Linked DNA regions of Tribolium castaneum. The main gene of each other region encodes a partner of the protein of the gene in region 6 in a complex. Links are inferred from orthologs where the notes say so. Each region holds a gene or a part of one and is shown on either strand. Other genes may lie near its edges.

The links.
Region 1: Taf4 (region 6) and Taf11 share a complex: the UniProt entries of both Homo sapiens proteins name them as parts of the TFIID basal transcription factor complex. The link is inferred for Tribolium castaneum from reciprocal best matches to the Homo sapiens genes TAF4 and TAF11.
Region 2: Taf4 (region 6) and Taf3 share a complex: the UniProt entries of both Homo sapiens proteins name them as parts of the TFIID basal transcription factor complex. The link is inferred for Tribolium castaneum from reciprocal best matches to the Homo sapiens genes TAF4 and TAF3.
Region 3: Taf4 (region 6) and Taf7 share a complex: the UniProt entries of both Homo sapiens proteins name them as parts of the TFIID basal transcription factor complex. The link is inferred for Tribolium castaneum from reciprocal best matches to the Homo sapiens genes TAF4 and TAF7.
Region 4: Taf4 (region 6) and Nipped-A share a complex: the UniProt entries of both Homo sapiens proteins name them as parts of the TFTC-HAT complex. The link is inferred for Tribolium castaneum from reciprocal best matches to the Homo sapiens genes TAF4 and TRRAP.
Region 5: Taf4 (region 6) and Taf6 share a complex: the UniProt entries of both Homo sapiens proteins name them as parts of the TFIID basal transcription factor complex. The link is inferred for Tribolium castaneum from reciprocal best matches to the Homo sapiens genes TAF4 and TAF6.
Region 7: Taf4 (region 6) and Ada3 share a complex: the UniProt entries of both Homo sapiens proteins name them as parts of the TFTC-HAT complex. The link is inferred for Tribolium castaneum from reciprocal best matches to the Homo sapiens genes TAF4 and TADA3.

Annotation. Positions count from the first base shown.
Region 1 is NC_087394.1:5,383,824-5,388,009, forward strand, and holds the start of Taf11 (transcription initiation factor TFIID subunit 11), read right to left. Parts: upstream 2,801-4,186; 5' UTR 2,373-2,800; coding exon 2,092-2,372; intron 2,049-2,091; coding exon 1,864-2,048; intron 1-1,863. UniProt on the Homo sapiens protein: The TFIID basal transcription factor complex plays a major role in the initiation of RNA polymerase II (Pol II)-dependent transcription.
Region 2 is NC_087403.1:4,012,974-4,016,935, reverse strand, and holds the start of Taf3 (transcription initiation factor TFIID subunit 3), read right to left. Parts: upstream 2,801-3,962; 5' UTR 2,597-2,800; coding exon 2,431-2,596; intron 2,385-2,430; coding exon 2,142-2,384; intron 1,401-2,141; coding exon 1,277-1,400; intron 1,238-1,276; coding exon 358-1,237; intron 309-357; coding exon 131-308; intron 34-130; coding exon 1-33. Other genes in the region: SLIT-ROBO Rho GTPase-activating protein 1, read left to right, coding at 3,250-3,325. UniProt on the Homo sapiens protein: The TFIID basal transcription factor complex plays a major role in the initiation of RNA polymerase II (Pol II)-dependent transcription.
Region 3 is NC_087394.1:13,420,491-13,423,610, forward strand, and holds Taf7 (transcription initiation factor TFIID subunit 7), read right to left. Parts: upstream 1,990-3,120; 5' UTR 1,816-1,989; coding exon 700-1,815; 3' UTR 501-699; downstream 1-500. UniProt on the Homo sapiens protein: The TFIID basal transcription factor complex plays a major role in the initiation of RNA polymerase II (Pol II)-dependent transcription.
Region 4 is NC_087401.1:16,675,661-16,678,123, reverse strand, and holds part of Nipped-A (transcription-associated protein 1), read left to right. Parts: intron 1-459; coding exon 460-1,579; intron 1,580-2,463. UniProt on the Homo sapiens protein: Adapter protein, which is found in various multiprotein chromatin complexes with histone acetyltransferase activity (HAT), which gives a specific tag for epigenetic transcription activation.
Region 5 is NC_087398.1:814,707-818,860, forward strand, and holds the start of Taf6 (transcription initiation factor TFIID subunit 6), read left to right. Parts: upstream 1-1,354; 5' UTR 1,355-1,616; coding exon 1,617-1,859; intron 1,860-1,902; coding exon 1,903-2,133; intron 2,134-2,187; coding exon 2,188-2,565; intron 2,566-2,676; coding exon 2,677-3,291; intron 3,292-4,035; coding exon 4,036-4,154. Other genes in the region: Wdfy2 (WD repeat and FYVE domain-containing protein 2), read left to right, coding at 1-132, 183-429, 602-933, 980-1,115. UniProt on the Homo sapiens protein: The TFIID basal transcription factor complex plays a major role in the initiation of RNA polymerase II (Pol II)-dependent transcription.
Region 6 is NC_087394.1:35,635,859-35,639,841, reverse strand, and holds the end of Taf4 (transcription initiation factor TFIID subunit 4), read left to right. Parts: intron 1-388; coding exon 389-571; intron 572-626; coding exon 627-725; intron 726-778; coding exon 779-991; intron 992-1,184; coding exon 1,185-1,568; intron 1,569-1,621; coding exon 1,622-2,072; intron 2,073-2,366; coding exon 2,367-2,632; intron 2,633-2,683; coding exon 2,684-2,836; 3' UTR 2,837-3,483; downstream 3,484-3,983. UniProt on the Homo sapiens protein: The TFIID basal transcription factor complex plays a major role in the initiation of RNA polymerase II (Pol II)-dependent transcription.
Region 7 is NC_087401.1:17,517,304-17,520,882, forward strand, and holds Ada3 (transcriptional adapter 3), read left to right. Parts: upstream 1-1,277; 5' UTR 1,278-1,431; coding exon 1,432-1,609; intron 1,610-1,664; coding exon 1,665-2,053; intron 2,054-2,105; coding exon 2,106-2,275; intron 2,276-2,330; coding exon 2,331-2,434; intron 2,435-2,487; coding exon 2,488-2,771; intron 2,772-2,824; coding exon 2,825-3,004; 3' UTR 3,005-3,079; downstream 3,080-3,579. Other genes in the region: uncharacterized protein LOC103313297, read left to right, coding at 1-626, 680-889, 933-1,112; uncharacterized protein LOC656520, read right to left, coding at 3,543-3,579. UniProt on the Homo sapiens protein: Functions as a component of the PCAF complex. The PCAF complex is capable of efficiently acetylating histones in a nucleosomal context. The PCAF complex could be considered as the human version of the yeast SAGA complex.

The DNA.
Region 1 (4,186 bases), about 30 Mb from region 6:
ACAATTGTGTGCATTTTTTCGTTATTAGAATACATTTCAGAGTTGATGTCACGTAACGACAATTGAAAAGTGGTCTTGGATCCGTTAAAAAAACAATTGTAAGTTTTGTGTTAGTTATTCGTAACAGTAATAACAAAGTGGTTTAAAACTCACTAATTACAACAAAAGTGGGTGTCATTTATTTAATAAGAAGTCGTAAGACTTCATTGCAGAAAGTGAATGAAATTTTGGTAATAAAAAATTAAACTAATCCGAATTAAATTATTATTTATTTTACATTGTTAAGCATCAAATTAAACAGGAATAAAAATCTGAATTTGTGCAAGTTTAATTAAATTTACCTAATACAAGTCTTAAGTAATACTCAAATCTTAAGAAAATTGCAAAAAACGGAATAAATTCCGTGATATAACGAAACCTTACTGACAGAATGTAACGCAAAAGGCTTCATTACTTTAAATAGAATAAACGTGAAAAGTAACAGGATAGATAGATAACAATTGGGAATAATTATTATGTCATTTTCATATCTTTAACGTATAGATTTTGCCTCCGACTTGAGTTATAAAATCGGCAATGCTCCTAGTTATTTTTTAATTACGTAAATGAGTATTAGTGAGCAAAAATGTGATTGTACAGTGACAAAGAATGATTTTTCTAGTAGTACTGTATTTAAAAATATGTCAATTGAGACTTTATCAAAAAAAATAGATTCATCATTGATCTGAAAACGAAGGGCATTTAGAAATATTGTACATTGTTTGTTTAAGTTTGTTTTTTTAATTTACGACGTTGCAACTTTTAACTCAAAAATTAAAAAAACTTAAAAATTGGCACTTAATAGGCAAATGGGCAAAAACAAAAAAAGCTTTTAGAAAAATCTTCTAGTTTATGATTTATTGTTTTTTACTGCCATTTCCTTACTCATATCTGTTTGCTATTTAAAAATATTGTTAGAGGCGACCAATTGTCTTGAATTTATTATTTATTATCGGTTTTTTATTGTAACAGTAGGGCACAGAAAAGAAAAATTTTTTTCAAAATTATAATCTTAGAACTTTTGTTTAACTGCGACCTAAAATTTCAAAGCACGGCTCCAAGACAATTTTTTATAACTCTTCAAATTGATGTTTTTTTCCTGTTCTTCGCTAAACCAAAAGGGCATTTTAAAAAAAATAGGGAATTAACTTTTTTGTAATTTTACATAGTTATTTTTTTTACTTTTTACATAGTCCACAGTGCAATGGTTCGTTAGACCACTATTCCATAAAGAAAGTCTTATCGAGCGTAATAATTAATTACACAAATACTTACATGTTTGATTTTTTTTGCACACAAAAAAAGAGTTTGACATTTCTAAGTCTTTGGACTGTTTTACTAATTTTTTAGAGTGACACCACTGCCGGAAAGAGGTGTGTAAGCTTTTTCGTATCGACTTCTTTTGAATTAATCAAAAAAATAATAATAAATTTACAGCTTAAAGAGTGCTTTAAGCAGTGGCAACTGTAGAAAAAAGTTGTTAATACGTATTTTCACGTTATTTGAGCTTCCGAATGTATTTTCAATCTCGAGCTGATGGTCTCAATTGTCAACTAAAATTTACCATAATTTTAGTGGTCAAGGCACTTATCTTCACAAAAATAAAAAAAATTAAACTATTAGACGTAATTTCATTGGAAAGCTGTCTGGTTAATACTTAAAAAAATCATAACTAAAAAACTATTGGGAATTTGGAGATTTTCTCGGCGCCCATCGATTCCTCGGATCATTTTACATAGGCTTAGACCAAAATAATTCCACATTTTCGAATAGTTTTGGTGTAATAGAGAAAATAAAAAAAATATTTTTTTGAATTATCCTCACCTTCCTCCACAACCTCTCCAACAAAGACCTTGGCAATCCCAGCCATAGCAATGACCACATTCTGGGAAACAGAACACCCTGTAATCGTCTGCATCAGCCTTTTAATTGCAGCTTTGGGAAACGCCGACCTCCTGTACATCTCATATCGATCCAGCTGATCCTCGGTGAAATTCGAGACTAGAACCCTTACAACAAACCCTCAGTAAACCCCACTTTACACCAACTTACTGCATTTTCTCGCGCTCTTCCTCCTCCATCTCCTTCCTAGTCTTCACCTCTTTCTTCTTAGCCGGAGCGCTGCTACTTTGAGGGGCTTCCGGCATTATTATATCCGACTCCAGGTACACATTTTCTTCGTCTTTGATGTGAATTTCAGACGTGAGCTGGGTCTCCTCGACTTTGACTGTCTCCACAGTGGAGTCGTCGTCTTCGTCCATGGACTCGTAGTTGGGGTCAGCTTTGATGATTTGACTCGTGGAGGCTGGAGGTTTCGCAAAAATGTTGTCCATTGTGTCTTTTTTTCACATTATCTATTTATTTTTTTGGAAATGAAGTAAGGTTATGTGTTAATTTTGACAGAAAAAATGAGCGATCGCTGCTCCCTCTACTGGTAGTTCTGTAGTTCCGTGCAAATCTGAGGTGGCGCCAGTGTCAAATTCCAGTCAATATATCACACTCATATTTGACAATAATTTTGTTTATTGTGTGTAAAATAAGGCGAAGTAAATGAAACGATGAATTTCTCTCGAGTTTGAGGCCCAATTCGCAGTGATAAAAATTGTGATAACGTGTCGGGTCGATTCGTCGCGGTGAACGACACAAAAACGCTTTTTTTTCGTTGTTTTATTGCGGGACCAGTTAATTCGCAATTAACCGCTTTTGACAATGTTCTAGTGTGATAATCGTACGAATTTGGCAACAAAATCACGTTGTAAGTATCCCAGTTGGTGGCTTTTGTTTGCTGGATGACAACTGTCAAAATGTCAAATCGGGCCTGGAGCCCCCTTGATCACCCAAGCGTCCACAGCATTGTGTGCGAAACCGTTAGCTGGGAACGCTTGGAAAGGCACGAAATTGTGGCTATTTTGAATTTTTTCACGCAGGTGCTCGCCGACTGCACGCAGGGGGCCTTAGAGCGTTGGATGGGGCTTGCTGTGCCCCAATTTTCTTGCACTGGCTCCCACTTCAACCACCACCATTACCCCGCTAAACCAAGAAGGTGAGTCGCGATTCCACGTTTAGATTATTTCCCTGAAAAAATGCTCAGTTATTTGCTACAATTTGTGGGGACTTCAAGGGTCACAAGTACCTAAAGTTTTTTTAAAATTATTTAGATCTATTACTTAATTTTGGCCACCCCTGCTTATGACAACAGTTATTAAATGAAACATTTATTGATTAATTTAGAAAATAATAAAATTACAAACTTTGACCTGGGGACATATTTGTAGCACACAACTTCTTTATAATACAAGTTATCTTTCGAAATTTCTTTTTTGTGAGACTTCAAATAAACTACTATTAACTGCACAAAATGTTAGGTGGGATATTGGTGATTTACGGCACGAGCCTAGCGAGTGCTGCATGAATTGCGAGTTAGGTACAATTTTTTTTTTGTATTATGTATAACTTTTCGTAAATAAGATGATTGTTTCTACGTAGCGATACGTAGTAATAATAGATGTTGATGCAGAGCAAAAAAAATATTTGATTATTTTCGATTTTTGTATATCAAACAGTCTTACCATTAGCGGAATTGCCCCTCGCCAGACTTATTAAAAATGAAAGAAACAGACTGGTGGGAGCTGTGTAAAAGGGATGAAAATTTACAGCAGGTGCATAAAGTTCGTACGGTGGGAATTGGGGATGTAAAATTGCACGAGAGCTAAGTGCACATTGCAGAAGAAAAACGAAAATCGTAAAGTTTGTCGGGACTGTAGAAATAAACGTCAGTGTTATTGCTACTGAAAAGGGGAAAATCTATAAAGCTTTATGTGAAAGGTTTCAGATGCAATTTTCGTGAAAGAAAAAAAAAACAATAAGATGGGACGAGACATTTTGTACTAATTATAAATCGGAGTTAATTGATATTGATTTTTTACACCCACACAACAAATTTAATTAATTTCCGTCACAGAATGAATTAATGTTTGGTTTAATAAGTTGCGTTTTAAATGTTTGGGATGAGGTCGGTTTTTTGTTGTTGCATTGTTCTTTGTTTTGAACCGTTTTAAATAAATTACCGATCAGGTGATGGACATTGCATGTCGGTTAATTAACTGTTTTTCCAGTTGTTGAGAGAACTGTCTATAATTTTTTGCAT
Region 2 (3,962 bases), on a different chromosome or scaffold from region 6:
GGTTCGCCAAAGGCGTTGGTATCAATCCCGGACCTAGAATTGAAAAGCAAAACTAGGATAAAGAAAAAACCGTTCACTATTTTCGGAAACGAAAAAAAAAATATCATAGAATCGTAACACGCGAATTTACCTCCAAAGTTGAAGGGGAAGGGGATGGGGGCCAGGGGCGCGTGGTTGGGGATGGGAACGGGCACAGTTGGCGGAAACTCCATTTTGGGTAACACTTGGGCTTCCGGTGTTTTGGGCCGCTCCATGTCCATGTCCATCGTATCGTTGTCTAGCCGATGCGGACTTTGGTTTTTCTGAATCTGAAAAACAACCTTAGTGGGAATACAAATTGTTGCGAAGCTCCGTTACTCTCTTTATCTTCTTGCTGTCTTTCCGCTTGCGTTTTTCCTTGACTATTGGCGGGCTGTGTGAGATCATTTCGGGGGTTTTGGGGGTTGAGGGAGTCCCCGGTTGGGAGTCATCGTCAAAGTAGGGCGTGTCCATCTTTTCTGGGCTTTTCTGGGCCGAGGAATTGATGGGTTCGATGGTCACGTCGCTTGATAAGTGGGTGAATTTGGGGAGGACTTCGTCCGGTTCGTCGATTATCAAGTCGGGGGAGCTTTCCCTCGATTCTTGTTTAATATCGTCTTTTTTTATTTTAACGTCGGTTTTTTCGTTCTTCACGTTTGATATTTTCTTAAATATGTTGACTTTTTTCTTGTCGGGCTCCGTGAAGAGTTTGTCGACGTTGTCGTGCTCAGGTGGGAAGACTTGGGGGCTGTTGGGCCGCATGGGAATGGGGGTGATCGTAGTGTTGAGTTTCTCCGTTTTAAGCCGGGCTGCAGCCAAGGTTTTGCTGATCTTAGCGGCTTGGTTTGCTTTGTTCTGCAGCTGGGAGATGTCGTGTGCCAGGGGGTTGAGGACCTTGTTGGGCGCTTTCTGTTGTTGCTTCGATTTCAGTATACACTTCATTGAGTTGATTCTGTTTTTGCCCGCTAGAGCCGGGTCCGTGTTTCCTTCCTGCTTGAATTTCTTTTTCTCAACTTTTTTGACGACTTTCGTCGGTTTTTTATTCAGATCGATGGTTTCCTGGGGTGGGTTTACGGGACCCATTGGGTCTATGGACGAAATTGGGGTTCTGGATTCAGGTAATTTGCCTTCTCGCGCTGGGGATAGAAACCCAGAAGTTGTCATCATCACACTGCTTATTTCTCTTGTCGGCCGACTGCCTTCTTCTTCTCTGCGGAAACTAAGACAGCCTTATTGTGAATTTGGAAATAGATAATACCTAGGCCGTTTGAACTCTGAAGGTGATATGTCGGCCGGTTTTTTAAAAACTTGGGAATTTTCAGGGTTGGTGTCTTCCAGTTCCTCAACTTTACAATTGATCGCTTCTAATTCATTTCTATTACCTATAATAATAATAATAATTATTAATTGTTCACTATTAGAGACGTTAACTGTTTTTTAAAATGGCTGCATTTAAAAAAAAATTCCGGTGTATATGCAGGTGTCCCAATATTAAAAAAACACTAAAGTTATGTTTTTTCAAATGGCACACCCTAAATTTTATTGCATTTTTGGACGTAGCTTTTAATACTGATGATTTTGTTCTAAACTTGTACTGGTCGATTTTGCTGAAATAATTTGATTTTTTTGACAAAAACACGCGAAGTAGGAATTTCACCACTTTAAAGGAAAAAGTTTATATGTTTATTTGTACCAATTGTTTTGCGCACTGCAATTAGAAAAGTAGAGAAATTAATAAGTTTGTTAAAAGTTGAATAACTTGAAAAAGTTAATGGAACGCCCTATTTTTTGCTGTTGCTTCTGAAAGATTATTAAATAGTCTATCTAAAAAAACAAGTTTTAAATTTCTGATAATACTAAATAATAATAAAAAAAGAATTGGCCCTAAAATAGACCCCTGTGGCACACCTTTATTTGTAATGGTAGGACTAGAAATACGATTATTTATTGTAACTACGCTATTCAAAATAAAGAAAATGTGAATGTGATTTGAATATCTATTGGTCTATAGCACTCATTTTCTTGTAGACTGGTATGATCTTTTTGGTATAATAGCTTAAATTGTAGACATTTCCGATGGCAAATGTATTATTTAAGGTACAAATATTAAAAAAGCGTTATACCTTCTAAAAGTGGGTTCATGGGGGGTAGGTGTTCATGTATGTGGACCGGTCTGGTGACCACCTCCTTGCTGCCTGGTTTTAGAAAATTCAAATGGTCTTCCTTGGGTATGGGGTACTTGGGGACAGCGCTTGGCGCCGCAGCAAAATTAACATATCTCACGTACTCCTCCAGCTCCGGGACGCTGATCCCCATGTCCCTAAAGGTCAGACCCAAGTGGTCCAAGTTCGGTTGGGTGCACCCAACTGAAATCCACACATTAGCATTGCCCCTAAGTTCCAAATTGCGTACATTCGTTTGCGTAGCTGTTTGTGTTCCTGGTAATCTGGCCCATGTAATTCCCTAAAATGTCGGTTAAAATCTCCAACGGTGTTGAATTTATCGAGTTCCATCCTAGCGTTTGTAAAATTTTCGCTACAGATATCTTAAGGTGGTCTCGTGTGTAATTACGAGACATTTTGCCGATTTATTTGACTACACAAGCTCTATAAAAGGGTGCACCAACACCTAATACAAATAAACTTCCATTTTGTATCAACACCCGTGACCTTGACAGACGGCAGACATCAGACATGCTTTTAATGCTTAAAAACGCCAAACTATATTCAGAATAGCGATAAATACGCAGGAGAGACGATCTGTTAACCCAACCGAACCGATAATTTTTTATTTGGTTGCGCACAGTGGGTTGCAAACGGTACTAACCGCTTAACCGCTGGCGTCCATGTTTGTGGGCGGTTTGGGCATTACAAGTGGGCAGTGTAGAGGCGGGTCCAAAGATGGCGCTGGTCGCTGGTGTGTTTACAAGCGACAGCGGCATTCTATTTTGAGTAGAGAGTAGCATGTTATGTTCAAATAGACAGTGTACAAATCGTTTTGTTCGTGGTAGCGTTCGCAACAACACTCAGTAACGAATTAACGTATTCGAATTAGTGCACACCGATTTGAAATGGCAACATTGTCTCAAATGACCACTTCTCATTAAATGTTTTTCCGAGTTAGCAACAAAACATAACTTGCGTTTGGACGTGAAAGTAGTTATTTTTGTGTGAAGACGGTTTTAGAATTCGCCAGTTTGTTTCTTATATACCGGCTACTTATTTTGTAAGGATGGATGAAAATGAGCAAGAATTGAAATCACCAATCAAACGGCTGGGATCCACGAGAAAACTTTTGGTTTTTAACAGTGAGTACACCTGTCTAGTTATCACCGAATATTTAACGCGTCTAAAGGTGGAACGGAGTTACTTATTTTTGTAATATTTAAATTTCTGTAAAAGTCGTTACCCAAGGTCACGGTATTGCAACAATAACCTTTTACCTGCAGCCGTTACTATTCAGTCTCCGGTTTGCGTCAATAAATATCATATTTTTTATCATTAAATCAATCCAAATAAAACAATCGAATTTTAATTAACAATGTAATTAAGCCACTTTAGCAGAATCCTGATTCCTGGCGTAAACAATAATTCTCTATAAACAGGATATTACTATTAAATCAATAATATTTATTAATAGTTTTGCAAAACAGGCGTATTTTCGATTTCCGAATTCCGCCCAAGGCCACTCTGGATTCTTATCAAGTTATACCTGAGGCGGTAAAAGACAAGAAAATCCAACTAATTATCAAAGTTAATGTCACAAGCGAAAATTATGCAAGATGTCGTAAATTCAGCCTGAACTTGAACTTGTAAACAACAGTTAGCAAGATAAGCGAATTAACAAAGGTGTTAAATAGCCCCGAACTGTCAGGCATCCAGTCGAAAATAATCGACAGCGGCGAAAAAGCCATAAAAAATTTATAGTATTATAAATGTGAGCGT
Region 3 (3,120 bases), about 22 Mb from region 6:
ATACACTATTGCCGTTTTTTTTTATAATTTTGAAATAAATATTGATAGTTTTTCTTTACGAGTCTTTATAATTGAGGCTGAACTCAGATTAAAAATGCAATGAGCATTAGTATGATTTATTAAATAATTTACTTATTTTCTTGTTATATACTGGTAAATAAGGAAACGTGTTATTTTACTTTATGATTTGCAATAAAAAAATGTATATCTCATTTCAGATCGTAGTAGAATTTTGCAACAACGCATTTGCAATTTTTTGAGTGAAATGGAGCATAAATTGAGAGCTTCTGCTAGGTTTTCTTAGCTCAAAGTGTGGCGCTGGAATTTGGTTTAACTCAGAATTTTTTTTCTTATACAGAAATTCTCAATTTGTGCTTTATTTTCACTCCAAAAAATCAAATGCGCTGTTGCAATTCTACTATGAACTGAAATGGGATATAATGAGTGTCCCTGAAATAGACTTGATGATGGAGACTAATACAAACTAAAAATAAGTATAGTTTTTGCCGATAAAGTTGTTTATTTTCTAAATTGTGCCCTATTCATAAAAAATAATTATCTATAGAAATTTACACAATTAAAATCGAATAAAACAGATTTTTTAATTAATCTAACATTGATACGCTTACAAGAAACACTTCACTATAACCCCTTTTTGGACCTAAAATTACAAAATACGATTTTTTAACCACTCCAATACTACTCTGGGTGCTGCTTCAGAAGCTCCTCCAACCCGTATTTCTCCTGTTCCTTCTCGATTTGCTCCTGCAGAAGCCTATCCAAAATATTCTGAAAGCGTTGTCTCAGCGCCAAATTCTCAATATTTTCAATTTCCATTTCCTGGTGTTGCCTCCTCATTTTCAAATTATCCAACTCCAACTGCAGCTCTTCAAGCCTCGCCAAAATATTACTCTTACTCAAATTCTGCTCTGTGTAGGAAATATTGCTGGATGACTGCTGATAATAGTCCATTTCTTGCATCAAAGAGGGGGAATTTTGCATTTCGTTGAACATATCACTGGTGAATTCTGTCAACAATTTTGAGTTTGCGGTATTGATCATCATTGAGTTGGAGTCAGTCAGGTGGCTGTCTTCGGCCGAGTTCTGACTATTGTCGTCCAGTTCCAATACGTTAAGGTGGGCGTCCTCCTCCTCTGAGTCACTCACAGCCCCCCCGAAAATATCATGTTCGGCCACGTTCTGATTGGGGGCTTCTGCAGGTTCCTTCTTCACCACGGTGCCTTTGTTGACTTTGTTTTCGTCGTCTTCGTTGATAACCTCCCATTTAACACTAACTGCATCATTGTCTATCCTTAACAATCTTTTGACTTCCTTCTCTATTTCGGGGGCTTCCACGTATTTCTTCTTCAAAGTCTTGCGGAATCGTCGCTTCCTTACGTTTTTCGTCGGTGGTGTGATCCCGTGTGGCATCAGATATTTTTTCTCCACTTTGTTGGGGTCTTTACGTTTCGACTTTTGTGGGGACTCTTCATCAGTAGTCGTTTGGTCGTCCTCTTCCTTACATATGAGCATTTGGCAAATATCGGCTGTTTTGTAGAAACCTTTCGAATCAATAGTTTTAAGGGACTCGATAATAGTGGGAAGGTCCATAACTTTAGCTGGTAAAAGCCAGTGGTCGATTCGGACTTCACCATGTCGCATGTCATTTTCTATTTTGATGGCCACCCTGTCTTTGAGGGTGCTGTTGTTTCGGATGGCTTCGCGAAGGACACGGGCTGGTTCTTCCGGTAGACGTAAAATGAACTGGCATTCGAGTTCTGCAGGTGAATCGGGTTCGTGGCCCCCTTTGTACATTTTTTTTTTTTCAATAATTGGGGCTTAAATTAATACAAAAGTGGATTTGACACGAATTTTAAACTTAATGTAAATGTAACAACACCATATTTTAATTGCTAAAAATGACAAACTTTTATTTGTTGACGGTTGAGGTTATGTTTGTGAGTTGTGGAGGTTAGGTATGCTAAGTGGTTTTCTGATTTATCGGCCGTGGGTGTATCTGTTGGTTGGGGGAAGTGGAGTACTGGTGGCGCTGCATGCTAAGACTTTAAGTCAGTGGCGTAGGTTATTTATCATTTATCTGTTTTTTCTTGAAATATTTGAAATATTTATTGTCTGACAGTGTTTCTTTAATTGTTTGTAAGTGGCCACATTGAATTTGGCGGGACAGTAAATAACTTTTTACCTAACAGTATGATTTTACAAAATAATGGCCAAGTCGTTAAATATTTTGGAATTAAAAATTTTGTTATTTCACTGAGGGCTAGAAAGTGGCGTGTTCTGTTCAATATTAATTTTAGTTACTTGATTTCGGATTCTGAATAAGTTTCGGATTGGCGTCTATAAAAATCCGAAAAACTTTGTTTTGTTTGATTTAATTTATTTGAAAATGCATTTTTTCTATATCTCATTTCAATTCATAATAGAATTTTGCAACAGCGCATTTGTAATTTTTGGAGTTTCTGGTTGGCTTTCTTAGCTCGAAACGTGTCGCTGGGATTTAGTTTAACACAGAATTCTTTTCCTTTACCGAAACTCTCAATTTGTGCTTTATTTCTCACTCCGGAAAATTCAAATGCGCTGTTGTAATTTATGGAATAAGTTTACTCGTGACTTCGTCACCCTTAAACTAAACTTTTCCACTTGTACATAAACAATCTTTTTATCGTCTTGTATAATATTAATAACTCTTGTATATAATCAGCATCAATTATTTATTATAAGTTGTACATCTTAAAAACATTCAAATAAACATAATACATCAAACAATGATCTTAAACCAACAAAAAACAATGAGATGTTTTTTGATTTTTTTGTACCTAGATTAGATACTTGTCATTCCAACTCAATAAAATGCCAATAAAGCAATTTACTGAATATTTTTTTTAAATAACGTTTATAAAAATGTAAAATACCAAGTTGTTAATTATTATTATTAGATCTGTATCTGTCACTGGAACTCCAAATTACATTAGCTATTAAGTTATTGAAGTGCATGAATAATAAATTAATAACAACTAACTTTGAGAGACAAAAACCGGAATAGATATTACATTACTAAAAAGCAGATTAATGTTTACGTAAATAGTTAAAATACATATA
Region 4 (2,463 bases), on a different chromosome or scaffold from region 6:
TTTTTCTAAGTTTTCAGACCTGACCTGACTGTTGAGTTAACTTAGACTTTTTCTAAGTTTTTAGACCTGACCTGACCTGACTGTTGAGTTAACTTAGACTTTTTCTAAGTTTTCAGACCTGACTTGACCTGACTGTTGAATTAACATGGACTTTTTCTAACTCAGAGTTAACTCATTATTAAAATAACGGACTATAGAGGTTATAAAAAGTTATAAATAAATTCTAACTTACATTCTGTTTGAAATCAATAGGCTTTCCACGAGTTTTTTTGAAGTGAAATTTATTATGACTCATTTAAAAATGTTTTTTTTTTTAATATTCTTTTCTATGTTTTTTCTAATTGGTTTTGAAATATGAACTGTACATTATTTGTGCAGGTTTTTTAAAGCGTTCAGTTTTAATAAAACAACCTATACCGCACATATAATGTATTACTTAGCCAAATTTTTTCCTCTTAGGTCGTTCCTAATTGAGGAAAAATGCCGTTTCCTCTCAAACTTCACCCTTAAAACCGCCGAAGTGGAAATCCCCGGCGAATTTCTCCTCCCCAAACACAACCATTACTACGTTCGCATAACTCGTTTCATGCCTCGTGTTGACGTCGTCCAAAAACACAACGCCGCCGCCAGGCGTCTCTACATCCGTGGTCACAACGGAAAAATCTACCCTTATTTAGTTGTCAACGATTCGGGTCTAGTCGACGCACGTCGTGAAGAACGCGTCCTTCAACTTCTGCGCATGCTCAATCACTGTCTCGGCAAACAGAAAGAGACCGCACGACGTTTTCTCCACTTTACCGTACCGCGCGTTGTTGCCGTCTCGCAGCAAATCCGATTGGTCGAAGATAACCCCGCCTCCATCTCCCTATTGGACATTTTCAAAAAGGGGTGTGCCAAGCTAGGCATCGAGCACGACGATCCCATTCATTACTACTACGAACGCTTGGGTGGGGTGCAGAGTAGGGGAATCAAAGCGAGCCATCAATTGAGTAGGGATATTTTAAAAGGGGTGCAAACAAACATGGTACCAAGAACGTTGTTGAAACAATGGGCGGTCCAAACGTTCCCATCAGCCACCGATTATTGGCAGTTTCGGAAAATGTTCACATTGCAGTTGGCTTTGGCCTGCTTTGCCGAACATGTCTTGCACTTGACGAGACTTAATCCCGACATGATGTACTTGCATCAGGATTCGGGATTAATGAACGTGGCCTACTTTAAGTTTGATGTGGATGATGGGACGGGGGAGTTTGGGGCCACCAGATCGGTGCCCTTTCGGCTGACGCCGAATATTGTCGAGTATTTGTCGAGTATTGGGATTAGTGGGCCTTTGACAGCGTCCATGATTGCGACGGCGAGGTGTTTCGTTTATCCGAATTTTAAAGTAACGGCGATTTTGAAGCCGATTTTGAGAGATGAGATGGTTTTGTCGAGGATGAAGAAGCCGGAGGAAGTGGCAGGGAATAATACGGAGAAGTTGAGCGATAGCGAACAGATTATTAATATGGTCAATAAGGCAGTGACGTCGATCTCCAGTCGGTTGAACAGTTTGGCGCATTTTGACGGAGCTGATAGCAAGGTTAGTGGATACTTTTTTGTTAGTAGATTTTTTTTTCTAAATGAAATGAATTATATTGAAAAGACACGTAAAATAATATAATACTATTATAATAAAATTCCAATTTTTAGTCGTTATATACATATGTACGAAATTAATTGGTCTAAGCAGGACCTAAGTAACAGAAAAAAAAAATTTTGAGCGTAGGACACTTAGATATGATTGTGAGAATAACTATATTTTTCTAAAAATTTTTTTTAATAATGATGCTGGAAGTTTTTGGAAAATGCAGTTTTTACGAAATAAATTATATACAAAATAATTTGCGTGATCCAAGAGTGTATAATCGGTCTATAACTTTTTTGCTATTTGAAATATTGTCATTCTGTTTTTATTATTTGATAGATCTACTGAAATTCCACAAACTAAAAATATTTCTATTATGCCCAGGATGTATACAGAGTGATGAACCAAAGTTATATTTTTTTTAACGGAACACCCTATATATTTTTGCATAATTGGATTCTACGTAAAAAAATAATGTAACTTTATATAAACTATTATGGGTCTATCTTTTTTCGTTTCGGAATTATTCGACTTTTCGTTATAGAAAAGACCAATTTTTGAAAATTCACTGCAAAGTCGCTTATGAATATTTTCCGATAAATTTGCAACAGAAAAATTCAAAATACTTTGAAGTTTTAGGAAATTGTCGACTTTTACTTGAAACACGGAAATCATATACAGGGTGTGTCAAAACGCAAAAAGTTGAATAACTAATTTTTTTTAATGGAACACCATGTATTTCTTTAGACGTATCGATAGCATTTTTTATAAGCTTTCTATTGATATGCGGTTTATATTGCAAATTTACAATATTTTTTAAAGTGTTCCAAATATATTAA
Region 5 (4,154 bases), on a different chromosome or scaffold from region 6:
CGAAATTATTTTTGCCATCAACTGCGAATGGGTTCTGAGCGTGAGCAGGGATAAAGTGTTTTCGTACAATTGCACACAAACCGGCCGCAACATTGGGACTTACACGGCTGAGGCCTGGTGCACCTCTCTACAGTACTAATTTTTTGCGGAAAATTTTCGAGTCATGTCTTTAATTTTTGCAGATTTGATGCACAAACCAAACATGCGTTTGTTGGGGATTATTCTGGTCAAATAACTATGTTAAAATTGGATAATGCGGGCCCTAGTGTTATCACAACTTTGAAGGGGCACTCGGGCTCTGTTAGGTCACTGGCTTGGGACAGCGAGCGGCAGATGTTATTTAGTGGCTCCTACGACCAAACTGTTATCGTTTGGGACATAGGGGGGCAACAGGGCAACGCCTACGAGCTGCAAGGTCACCACAACAAGGTAAACATTGTTTATTACAACCGCAGTTGGATTTTTTCCGAAGCAAAGATAATTGTTTATTGGTTACGTAGGTCAAGGTTTGTTTTTTGTTGGCGATCGGCATTTGAAATTAAATTGGCAACAGTGCCAAAAATTACCAAAATTGTGGAAACAAGTGAATGTGATATTACAGGTCTCTGCTTTGTGCTACCTTAACTCGACCAAACAATTGGTCAGCGCGGGCGAGGACGGGGTGCTGGTCTTCTGGGACATGAACCAAACGCGTCAGGAGACTCCCGAGTGGATCGAGTCCGATTTATGTCAGTTGTGTGGAAGACCGTTCTTTTGGAACTTCCGAGCCATGATGGACCAGCGACAGTTGGGTTTACGGCAACACCACTGCAGACATTGCGGGAAAGCAGTTTGCGAGAAATGTTCCACAGGTAGATTAACAATTCCAGCGATGGGTTTCGAGTTCGCAGTGCGTGTCTGTGACCCTTGTCACCACTTGTTAAGGGATAGAGAGTGAGTTGCAAGTGGTGAAGTTATGTCTTGCTAAAGTTTTTTACAGGAGGGTGTCTTTAGCCACATTCCATGATGCTAAGCATAGTATTACAGCGATGGGATTGGACGAGACTCGCAAAAAATTGGTAACAGTCGGACAGGACCGGCTAATCAAAATTTGGGACATTTCCGCTTTGCTTTGAATCCGACTGGTTTAGTTACTAACGCTGGAATGTGATTCACACTCAATTAATTAATGTGCTATGATTTATTACATTATGTAAAATTTAAATATTATTAATGTTATATTTATATTCTATAAGTTCTATTGAAAATAAATCTATTATAATCACAGAATTGCGCCTCATTTGTGCTATTTTTGAACCCAAGTGTGCGAACAAGTGACATGATTCCATGAACGGATGGTAATCTGTGGTGACGTCAAATTTACAGGAACCTGCTTTCGGTCCGATTGTTGTCAGTTTTTTTCGAACAAACAATTGTTCGTTGTGATTTTTTCTCCCCCACACGATTAAATCAATTAAGTGCACTCTTCTTCATGATCCTTTAATACTTTGGTTCTTTAATGTTGTTGTTATGCGGCATGTGTTGGTGTTTTCGTCGTGCGTGCCACTCGAGTTGGCACCACTGGTAAACAAAACAAGCGCATATGCCAATTTTTGGCCCCCTTTTTGCCTTGAAAAATGTCCAAAAACGCTGAAAATGACTTATACGGAACGAATTTATCCGTCGAATCTATGAAGGTAATAGCCGAAAGCATCGGAATTGGAAATTTGCCCGACGACGCTGCAAAGGAACTAGCTGAAGACATCTCATTTAAACTGAAACACATCATTCAAGACGCTGCGAAGTTCGTCCACCATGCCAAACGAACAAAACTGATGCAGAGCGACATTGACGCAGCCCTCAAAGCCAAAAACTTGGAGGTATGTGGGCTTTTTGGTTATTTAACCTCATTGTGTCTTACAGCCCCAGTACGGTTTCCAATCGGCCGAAGGCCTCCCGTTCCGTTTTGCATCAGGCGGCGGACGTGAGCTTCATTTTATTGAGGAGAAGGAGGTGGTTTTGAACGATTTGTTGCAAAATTTGAACGCCAAAGCACCACTTGAGGTGTCTTTGAGGTCCCATTGGTTGTGCATCGATGGGGTGCAGCCCACAATACCCGAAAATCCGCCACCGGTGGCCAAAAACATACAAAAAGTAAAGTTTGCGTTGTTATCGCCACTGGTTCGTTTTTATTGGTTTGGGTTGTAGTTGGAGTCGGTTGATCCTATTAATAAAAAACCAAACAAGGAAACATCAGGGAAACCCACAACTGGAAAACAGAAATTACGAAATGTGGAAACTGTGCAAATTAAACAATTGGCCACGCATGAATTATCAGTGGAGCAACAGTTGTATTATAAGGAAATTACCGAGGCTTGTGTGGGGTCAGATGAGGCACGGAGGGCCGAGGCTTTACAAAGTCTAGCCTCCGATCCAGGGCTTCACGAAATGTTGCCCCGCATGTGCACTTTTATCATAGAGGGGGTCAGGGTGAACGTTGTACAAAATAATTTAGCGCTTCTTATTTATCTAATGAGGATGGTTAAGGCTCTCTTAGACAACCAATCGTTGTACCTCGAAAAATATGTAAGTATAGTATGGACCAAGAAAACATTTTTTCGCTCATTTTACAAAATTATGTTTTGCTTGATTTTTAAAAGTTCGTATAAGTAGCTATAATTTGTTGTTTAATTACAGTTACACGAATTAATTCCGTCGGTAACAACCTGTATTGTCTCGAAACAACTGTGCATGCGCCCCGAGCTGGACAACCATTGGGCGCTTCGCGACTTCGCCTCACGTCTCATGTCCCAAATTTGTAAAAACTTCAACACTAGCACGAACAACATCCAGACCAGAATTACCCGAATGTTTACAAATGCGCTCCAACAGGGCGATAAAGTCCCACTTTCGTCCCTTTACGGTGCCCTTGAGGGGCTTTCAGAGCTAGGGGCGGAAGTAATCAGAATTTTTATATTACCGCGATTAAAATCAATCGGAGCCCGAATTGAAATGCACCTTCAAGGACCAACTACTTCCAATATTGATAAAATCGCCTCGGAACATATTAAGCAATTGCTAATTAAAGTTGTGGCTCCCGTATTGAAAAATTTGAAAAATCCACCTGATTATGTAGAGGAGTATAAGCAAGAGTTTGGGTATTTGGGGCCCGCGTTACACGCAGCTGTGGTGAAAGCAAGGACACAACCGACGCCTTCGACAACAACGGCCTGCAATATTTCGACGTCGTTGACGAACGTGGGGGCCACTATTACGAGGACTGTGAGCCAGCCCTGCCAGATTATACAACAGGTAAGTGCATTAAAAAGTTTCAAAATGTGCTTCAAACGATTGACCTGAAATCCCAATAATTCCTGTAATTCCCACCTAATTTTTTTTTGTTTTCGTTGCTATAAGAAATTCAACGCAATATCTATTATCAATATTCTGATTCCAAATAGATTTGCACTAATTCTAAAAACAATTCCATAAATCCCAAAGGAAATTTTAATAATCCTTATTCGTCCAAGCGATTTTGATTAAGTTCCAAAAAAGTGTACACCCAGGACCAAAATAAGTGGCATCCCAATTCGTTCATACCCGTACGTACAAAACCGTAGAAAAAACGACGTCTAACCGCACCTTAACCTCTGGCATAAATCTTTTCGGTCATAAAATTAACAATTAACATAATTTGAATACTTCATTTAGCGATTCCACTATTAAAAATCGCTAAATATTTATTACAAATTTTTTTGAATTAATAAAATGTTTTACAAATTAGAAATGTTTTAGCTATTTTTTAGCCATTAAAGTAGGTTGTAGAGGTTTTACTGTATTATATTATTAAACATATTACTGTATATGTTTGCAATAAATATTTAGCAGTTTTTGGAAGCCGGTAAAAGAACTGTTCAAGAAATGTTATTTTTATGAACGAAAAAATTAAATTCCAATTCCAAGAAACCCACCAAAATTCCAGTAATTATAATTACTTGGGGTGTTTAATAAAATAAACGTGAAAGTGGATGTGCAGTTGGTTTTTTATTGCCGCAGAACACCGGCCCTCAGCGCACGATCGTAATGAACCAATCAGGGCGAGTCGCTAACCAGATAAACAACCAAAAAATCTTATTTGTGACACAACGTCCTCCAACCCCGGGAGGTTCCGTTCA
Region 6 (3,983 bases):
TCGAAACACGTACACGAAGCTGTACAACGAAAATGCCGAATCTCTTCTAGTTTTGTTGAGTAAATTTTATAGTTTATTTGAAGAATTGTTTTGTTTGATAACTGGTGTACACATTTGCTGGTCGTACTGTAAAATAAAAATACAACTAACTGTGGAACTCTTACTAACAAATTTCTCGTTTGTTACTAACGTTCGAGTCACGTGGCTCATTCTTTAGACTAGAATCTTTAGATTGTAGATTATGAAGCAAAATGTATTCCAGTAGTTGTTTAAAATGTATTGTTTGTGTTATTTTAGTTTTGTGCTTGTTATTGTGTAGTTGTTCGTTTTTATAGGGTTTGCCAATTTGGTAGTTTTCGACTTGTCTAAAAAAAATTCAATGTTTTAGCAATTAACATTACAAACATTTCACGGTTTGCAACCCGGCCAACAAGGTCATTTGCTTCTCAAGACTGAAAATGGACAGTATCAGCTGTTGAGGGTGGGACCACCCCCAGCCACTGCAAATCTCACAGCGACTTCGACTCCTGGAGGACAGCCAGTCACGTTGCGTATGCAAACGGTCGCTGCTGTAAGAATTACTTTTCCCGTGCATCACTTTGACAATAATTTTGGGGGATTTACAGGCGCCGACAAGTTCAGCAACTACCAGTCCAGCAGTAGCTGGTGGGACCACAACGGTCTCGAGTCAAGGTCAGACGGTACAGACTGTAACGACTGTTCAGGTTTGTAATCAATATTTTTGTTTTGTCATTTAATTTTTCATGTTTCTGTACAGAGACCGGCCAATGACAATACCAAAGAAAAGTGCCGTAAGTTCCTAGCAAACCTTCTAGAGTTATCAAGTAAAGAACCCAAGTCAGTTGAACGTAGCGTAAGGACACTTATTCAAGAGTTAATCGACATGAAAGTCGAACCAGAAGATTTTTGTGACAAACTGGAAAGATTGTTAAATGCATCGCCACAACCGTGCCTAATTGGGTTTCTAAAGGTGATTTCAAATTGTACTAAAATTGGTGGAAAAAGCTGTAATTGAAAGTCAATCTAGATTTTTATCACAGAATGTCAAATTTAATATAAAATCGATTGAGGAAATCCAGTTTTTGAATGTGTGATGAGGTTGATCTTTGCAATTTTTTTAAATAAAATGGGTACGTTTTTTAACGACAGAAAATATATTCCAGAAAAGCCTCCCTCTGCTACGTCACTCACTAGTAACGAAAGAACTGACGATAGATGGGATCCGTCCTCCGCCCGCCAATGTTGTTTTCTCAATAGCTAGCGGCTCTCCAACAGTGCAGACCCAAGTCCGACCGGGCATAGCTTCCAACCAAGTGCGAATAGTAGCCCCAGGTACTGCAGTTGTTAGACCAGGTCAGGTGCTCCAGCAACGGCTGGTAACCCCATTGCGGGGCGCCGCACAACAAACTCCCAGAATGATGACGACGATACGACAACCAAACGCAGCAGGAAATGTGATCGTTTCCAGTTCACAACCACCAGCCCTCCATCCTGTCTATCCCAGCAACCAGGTCAGAGCTGGTAGCAACATACGGCAACCCTTACAGGTAAATGACAACGTCAAACGCGCTCAAGTGTCATTCATTATTTGTTCCTGTAGAATAAATCCCCAATGACGTCGATGAAGCTCCAAGGAATCAAACCCGCAGTGCCTTCGATAGTTTCGCGACCTACCAGCAAAGAAAAGGAGAAAAAGTCATTCTCGGCGGCGTATACCGGCGATGACGATATCAACGATGTGGCCGCCATGGGAGGCGTTAATCTCGCTGAGGAAACCCAGAAAATTTTGGGGTCGACTGAATTCGTCGGCACTCAAATCAGATCCTGCAAAGAGGAAATCATGTGTTCAATGGGACCTTTACAACAGAAAATTAGACAGATTGTGATGAAGCACGGGCTTGACGAGCCGAGCGCTGATGTCGCAGCGTGTATTTCGCACGCGGCACAGGAAAGACTCAAAAATCTCATTGAAAAACTGGCCATCATCACCGGACACAGACTGGACATCGTCAAAAAGGACTTGCGATACGAAGTCACAAACGACGTCAAAGGTAAAGTTATGTTCATTCTGTTGAAAATAGCTGTTTTCAAACATAACTACGGAGACAATTTTCTGTACCCAAAAAAATGGTTACAAATTTAACTATAATTCCTACTCCAAGATAAAAAATAATAGGAACAACAGGTTATAATAATAGAAATTTCTTTGAACGTCTTTGAAGAGCTATAACACAACGAAGAGCACAAACTTTGTGGTCCTGGACTTAAGTTACCTCCAATTTTCTTCGAAAAATTTTGACTTGAGACTATAAATCTCAAGAATTGATGTAAAAATTTGTTTTCAGGTCAGCTGAAATTCTTGGAAGAGGTGGACAGGGCGGAGAGAAAAAGACACGAAGAGCTGGAGCGGGAGATGCTCCTGAGGGCGGCGAAAAGTCGGTCGAAAACGGAGGATCCTGAGCAAGCCAAGCTGAAAGCGAAGGCGAGGGAAATGCAGAGGGTGGAAATGGAGGAATTGAGGCAGAGGGAAGCAAATGCGACGGCTTTGCAGGCGATTGGACCGCGGAAAAAGCCGCGACTGGAGGGAGACGGGCAGTCGAGTTTATCACAAGTAAAACATTCGGTTTTGTTATTGTTCTATTTGTGATGTTTGTTTTTGAAGGGCAATGCCGGTGGATTCAACAGCGGACTGAGAGGACAGATGCCATTGAGACAGCGAATGAAGAAAGTGACGTTGAGGGACTTGCAGTTTCTGTTTGAAACTGAAAAAGACCTATGCAAAAGTAAACTTTTATACAAATCATATCTTAAGTGATGCTCGCCTCTCGTCAGTGTTGTGATATTCAGAGACGTCGTGGGTGCCCTAAATTTGTTTTTATTCTCATCTTCTGTTATTGTTATTTATTATGATTTTTCATTTTTAACCACTAAGGTCATGTAAACAATATTTTATCTTTTATCTAGCACATTTTTTTTATTTCTCATGAATAGCGTTATCCACTCCACTACTCTTGGTTAGCTTAAAGAACAAAATTGGTTTGCATTGTTTTCAGTATTGTTCAAAATTTCCAATGAAATGTTTTGTATCAAAACTTTCCAAACAGTTTTTATAATAAATGTCAAAAATACGTCTAGAGACTGCGCAATGCAAGCTTCATATTTTCCTACTTACAATTAGTCATGAAAAATTGTTTAACACATACTTTTTTGTTGTTAGTCTCAAATAACACGAAGTGAACAGATAAAGTATCGTAGGTTTTTCTACAGATATGTAAGGGTGTAAATATATTGTAGATTTTCTATAATGATGTGAGTTTTCTTTATAAGAAAATATTTTAAGAAGGTCATGTTAATAATTTGTAATTAGTTGTATAATTGTTTTTTAATCTAACTATGGATATAGATATATATATAATTTTTGTTATAGAAGTAATATTTAATATAATAAATTGATTATTTGATTCTAGTTTTGTTTATTGTAAATACGTGTGTGTTTACGCGTCATTTTTATAGCAATTATTTTGTAATAATAAATATCCATATCTATTTTTATTACTAAACATGTCTTCACTAGTAGTCACCAGGTTTTAGTTTGATTTTTGTATATACATAACGTTTGATTATTCTAATCCAAGTACATTTTCCATTTAATGGGTGCTCTGGATTTGTATATACAGTACTTAAGTTGTTTATGTTCAGTAGCTGATTGGCCTTATTATTGTCCCCTTTTAAAAAGTACAAATGCATTGTTTTGGGATTAAATAAATTGTTGTTTCATTTAAAATGAATGTTATCTTCTCTTATTAAAACCCTTTAGAACCAAAGTTGAAATAAAAATGAAAAAAATCAAGAGGGACTTATTAAAATAATATCATTTAAATCACGCATTGTTTCGTATGTAAGAGAATAAAAGATGTAGAACAACATACCATTTGCTGAAATGTGATCTTGGGCAATCCCAG
Region 7 (3,579 bases), on a different chromosome or scaffold from region 6:
GCTCTGCAATGATTCCTCTATCGACTTTTCTCGATTTGTATGAGTTTTTAGCACGAATTGATGCTTCGTTGCCACAAACTTTGAAAAATTACTATTTTTTGGATAAGTTTCTCGAATTGTTTCGCGAGAAAATTGCCAAAGATTCAGGGGAAAAACCGGTGGAAGAGGAACTCGAAACGGATTTTATGAGCGAGATTGTGTCCGAAGTGACGGAAAAAAGTGAAAGGGAGACGAAAAAAGACGATGAGGGTTCGGTTGTTTCGTGTCCAAGTGTCACAAGTCAGGATCCGGACAACTACATGAAATTGTTGATGAAAATACGAGCCGAAGGCGAATTTGAAGAAAGCAACGAAGAAATAAAGGAAGAAACAGAAGAAAAGACGGAACCTGTTGATGAAGAAGTGAAAGAAGAAGAAGTTGAAGAACGTAAAGAATCGGTCGCTGTTTCCGAAAAAAAATTTCCGGAACAGTTGGCTGAAGACGAAAAAATTCCGCAATTTCCGGTTGAAGATGACCTTGTTTCGAAAAGTACGCGAATGTCATCAGCACCGAGTGAATCATTGAAGAAAGATGAAGAGGATTTGAAACAAGACACTTATCTTATGGAAGATTTGGCAAGACTTCGGGTAATTCACCGACTAGTCTACTAGGTTTTTCCCCGAAATAAATTCGGGTTTAGTCATTACAGGAAGCCATGATGGGTGAAAGTGACGACGAAGTTGAGAAATTCAAAGCTAGTATTTTAGCTGAAGCTGGTTTAACTCAATCACAAATTGATGCACCTGAACATTTTGAAACACGAATTGAGAGTGAAATTTTCACTAATGAGTCACTTAAAAGTTACGAAACGTCGACAAGTGAACCGTCCGTCAAGGAAAAAGCGCCAGAAGTAGAAAAAAAAAGTGGGAAATTTTTTTTTATAATTGTTTTAGATTGAGTATGAGGATGTGTTCGTGGATCCAGTTCCAGGAATCGGGCCGAAAGTCCCCGAAAATTTAATTTTGGCCGTTTGTAATTACATGAAAGATGTGGCCAAGTGGCAACATGACATGGTTATGCCGAGGAATATACGGCATTTTGATCGCCCGCCTTTAGAAATTCGAAATCAATAAAAATTTTGCACCGTTTTTTTTTTGATACATGGTACTGCCCAAATCTTAATCATATTTAATCACGTTTCAGTGCGTCCAGTAATCAATTAATAATTATTTGTGCCTCCAGGTGTATCTACTTGATTAGTAAATAAAGCCCTACGTTTCGGAAACACGTATTAAATTTTCCCCCTTTATGTTCGATTTAGTTTACAGTTTCCTGTAATTCAAGTGTCAATTTTTATGTATCGATTGTCAACAAACAACAAAATTGTGTGAAATTGGCTAAAATAACATTGATGATTAACATTTTGCATGTTCTTTGTGCCTAAAGCGTGATATGAACAACCCCAAACGCCACCTCATGTCAAAAAACGCCCCCCGAGGGGGCAAAGCGAAAGACGCCCCCTCGTCCTCCCGTCACGACTCCATCCCTCCTGACACCGAAAACTTCATAAACACCGTCCCTTTGATCCGTCAATGCGACAACACGAAGCTTTTGCCCCGTTTTTCATCCAGTAATCAACCCTAACCTAACGTTTTGCCCCTTTTGATTAATGAGCAAGTTTTTAGTTTTGGGGCGCACCGAAGACGATGGAGTGAACATGGACGACCTTGATCAACTTCAACTCGACCTTGAGAAGTTAATTTCGACGTGTGCTGTGCGTAACCGGTTTTTAAGGGGCGAAATCGAATCGATTGATCGAGTTGAGGAAAAAAGAGACAAAAAGGGCAAATCGTATGATAAAGGGGGGCTCAAACGGAAACGGCCCGATGATAAGGCCAAGTATCGTGATTTGAAAGGGGGCGCACGCCCCCTGAAACGTCATTATCCACTTCCGGTGGATGTGCCCTTGAGGCATGAAATGCCCAAAATTAATTTACCCAAGAATGATACTTCGGATAAGTTTTGGGCGACTGTGGAGCCCTATTGCGCCCCCGTTACGAATTCACACGCTACGGTTGATTGATTTTTTCAATTTTATAATTATGTATTAACAAAAAAAATTTTAGTTCCTCGATAAATTAATCGAGGAATGTTCGCAAGAAATTGATGTAAAAATACCCGATTTGGGCGAATATTACGCCAATGAGTGGTCAGATAATGCAACCGGAGTGGAACAAGAATTGGGGCTAACCTCTAAAACAGTTGGCCTTGATTTGAAAAAGAACGGTTTGAGTGCGTAAGTATTTTTTATCAAGTCATAAAGTTCAAAAAAATTTACAATCAATCAATAGAATGGTTGATTCATTTTCAAACCCGAAAACTCAACGCCTATTGGCCGCCTTGATTGAGGAGAAAGTGATGACGTCATTTCCGGGTGTTACTGGGAAACTCAAACGTAATAAAATCACATTTGTCGTAACTTCAAACTCATTTAATTCACTTTTAAAGCGTCCGATTTGAATATAATCAAGTCAGCTGGTGGTCCACGTGCTGCCATATGTATGGATCGCCGCCTTAAGAAAGATTTAGTCGAACAAGGATTATTAAGTGTTGAGGATTTATCTAAAACAATGCCCGACGATGAGATTTTACAAGAAATAAAAAAATGTCAACAAGAATTGACAGCTGTCAATGAGTATAATGTTGAGGAATTGAAACGTTTGAAAGCTATAGTTGTCAAAGATTTGAAACGGCAAGAAATCAAAGCAGCTCTGGATGTAGTAGATGGCGAAGTTTGTTGATTGGTGTTACCATGGTAACAAAATTAAAACACCTAAAATTTCAGGTTTTGGAAGTTTATAATAAGGTGTTAATGACCAAACAGAAGCAAATCCAGCAGGCCAAGGATGAAGATTTCGATAAAGCCGCCTTTACAAAAAGTTTGAAAGAATTTGAAGTGAAGACACATGTCTTGTTGGAAACGCAGTTTAAGTTTCAGAAAGCTTTGGCGGAATTGCAGGAATAAAAAAAACACCAGTTTTAAGTCTTACATTATTATTATTATTATTTTTGACACATTAATTTACAAATTAGTCTGGTATTTGGTGTTTAGAGTTGTTTTCTTTTTCCTCAATTGTCTAATTAACACTCCTAATTAAATAATTGAAAAACACCGATAAATCAATTTGTACTTGGGAGAGATATTCATCAAAAAATGCTTTTTTCGTTTCGTTTGGTTGGTAAAAAATCACTCTTTTGAATATTCAAATTGGCACCACTGGTGGTATATGAAACGAATGAGTCAATAGTGCCAACCTGACAATCACAATTGTGCGATGAGATGAACTTAACCTATAAAAAAAGTATATTGCGAACATGAATACTACCAACGGCTAAAATTGATTTTCCCTAAATATTTATATAAAAAACAAATCGTAATAAATATGACGCAACAGAACAACAACAAAAAAAATATATCGCTTAATCCTACAAAATTATCACATTTACATTCTATACAAATGATTATCATCATGGATTTTTTTGTCCTGAAATTTTGATTACTATTACATTGTGTCAACATACAAATTCAATACGCGATGT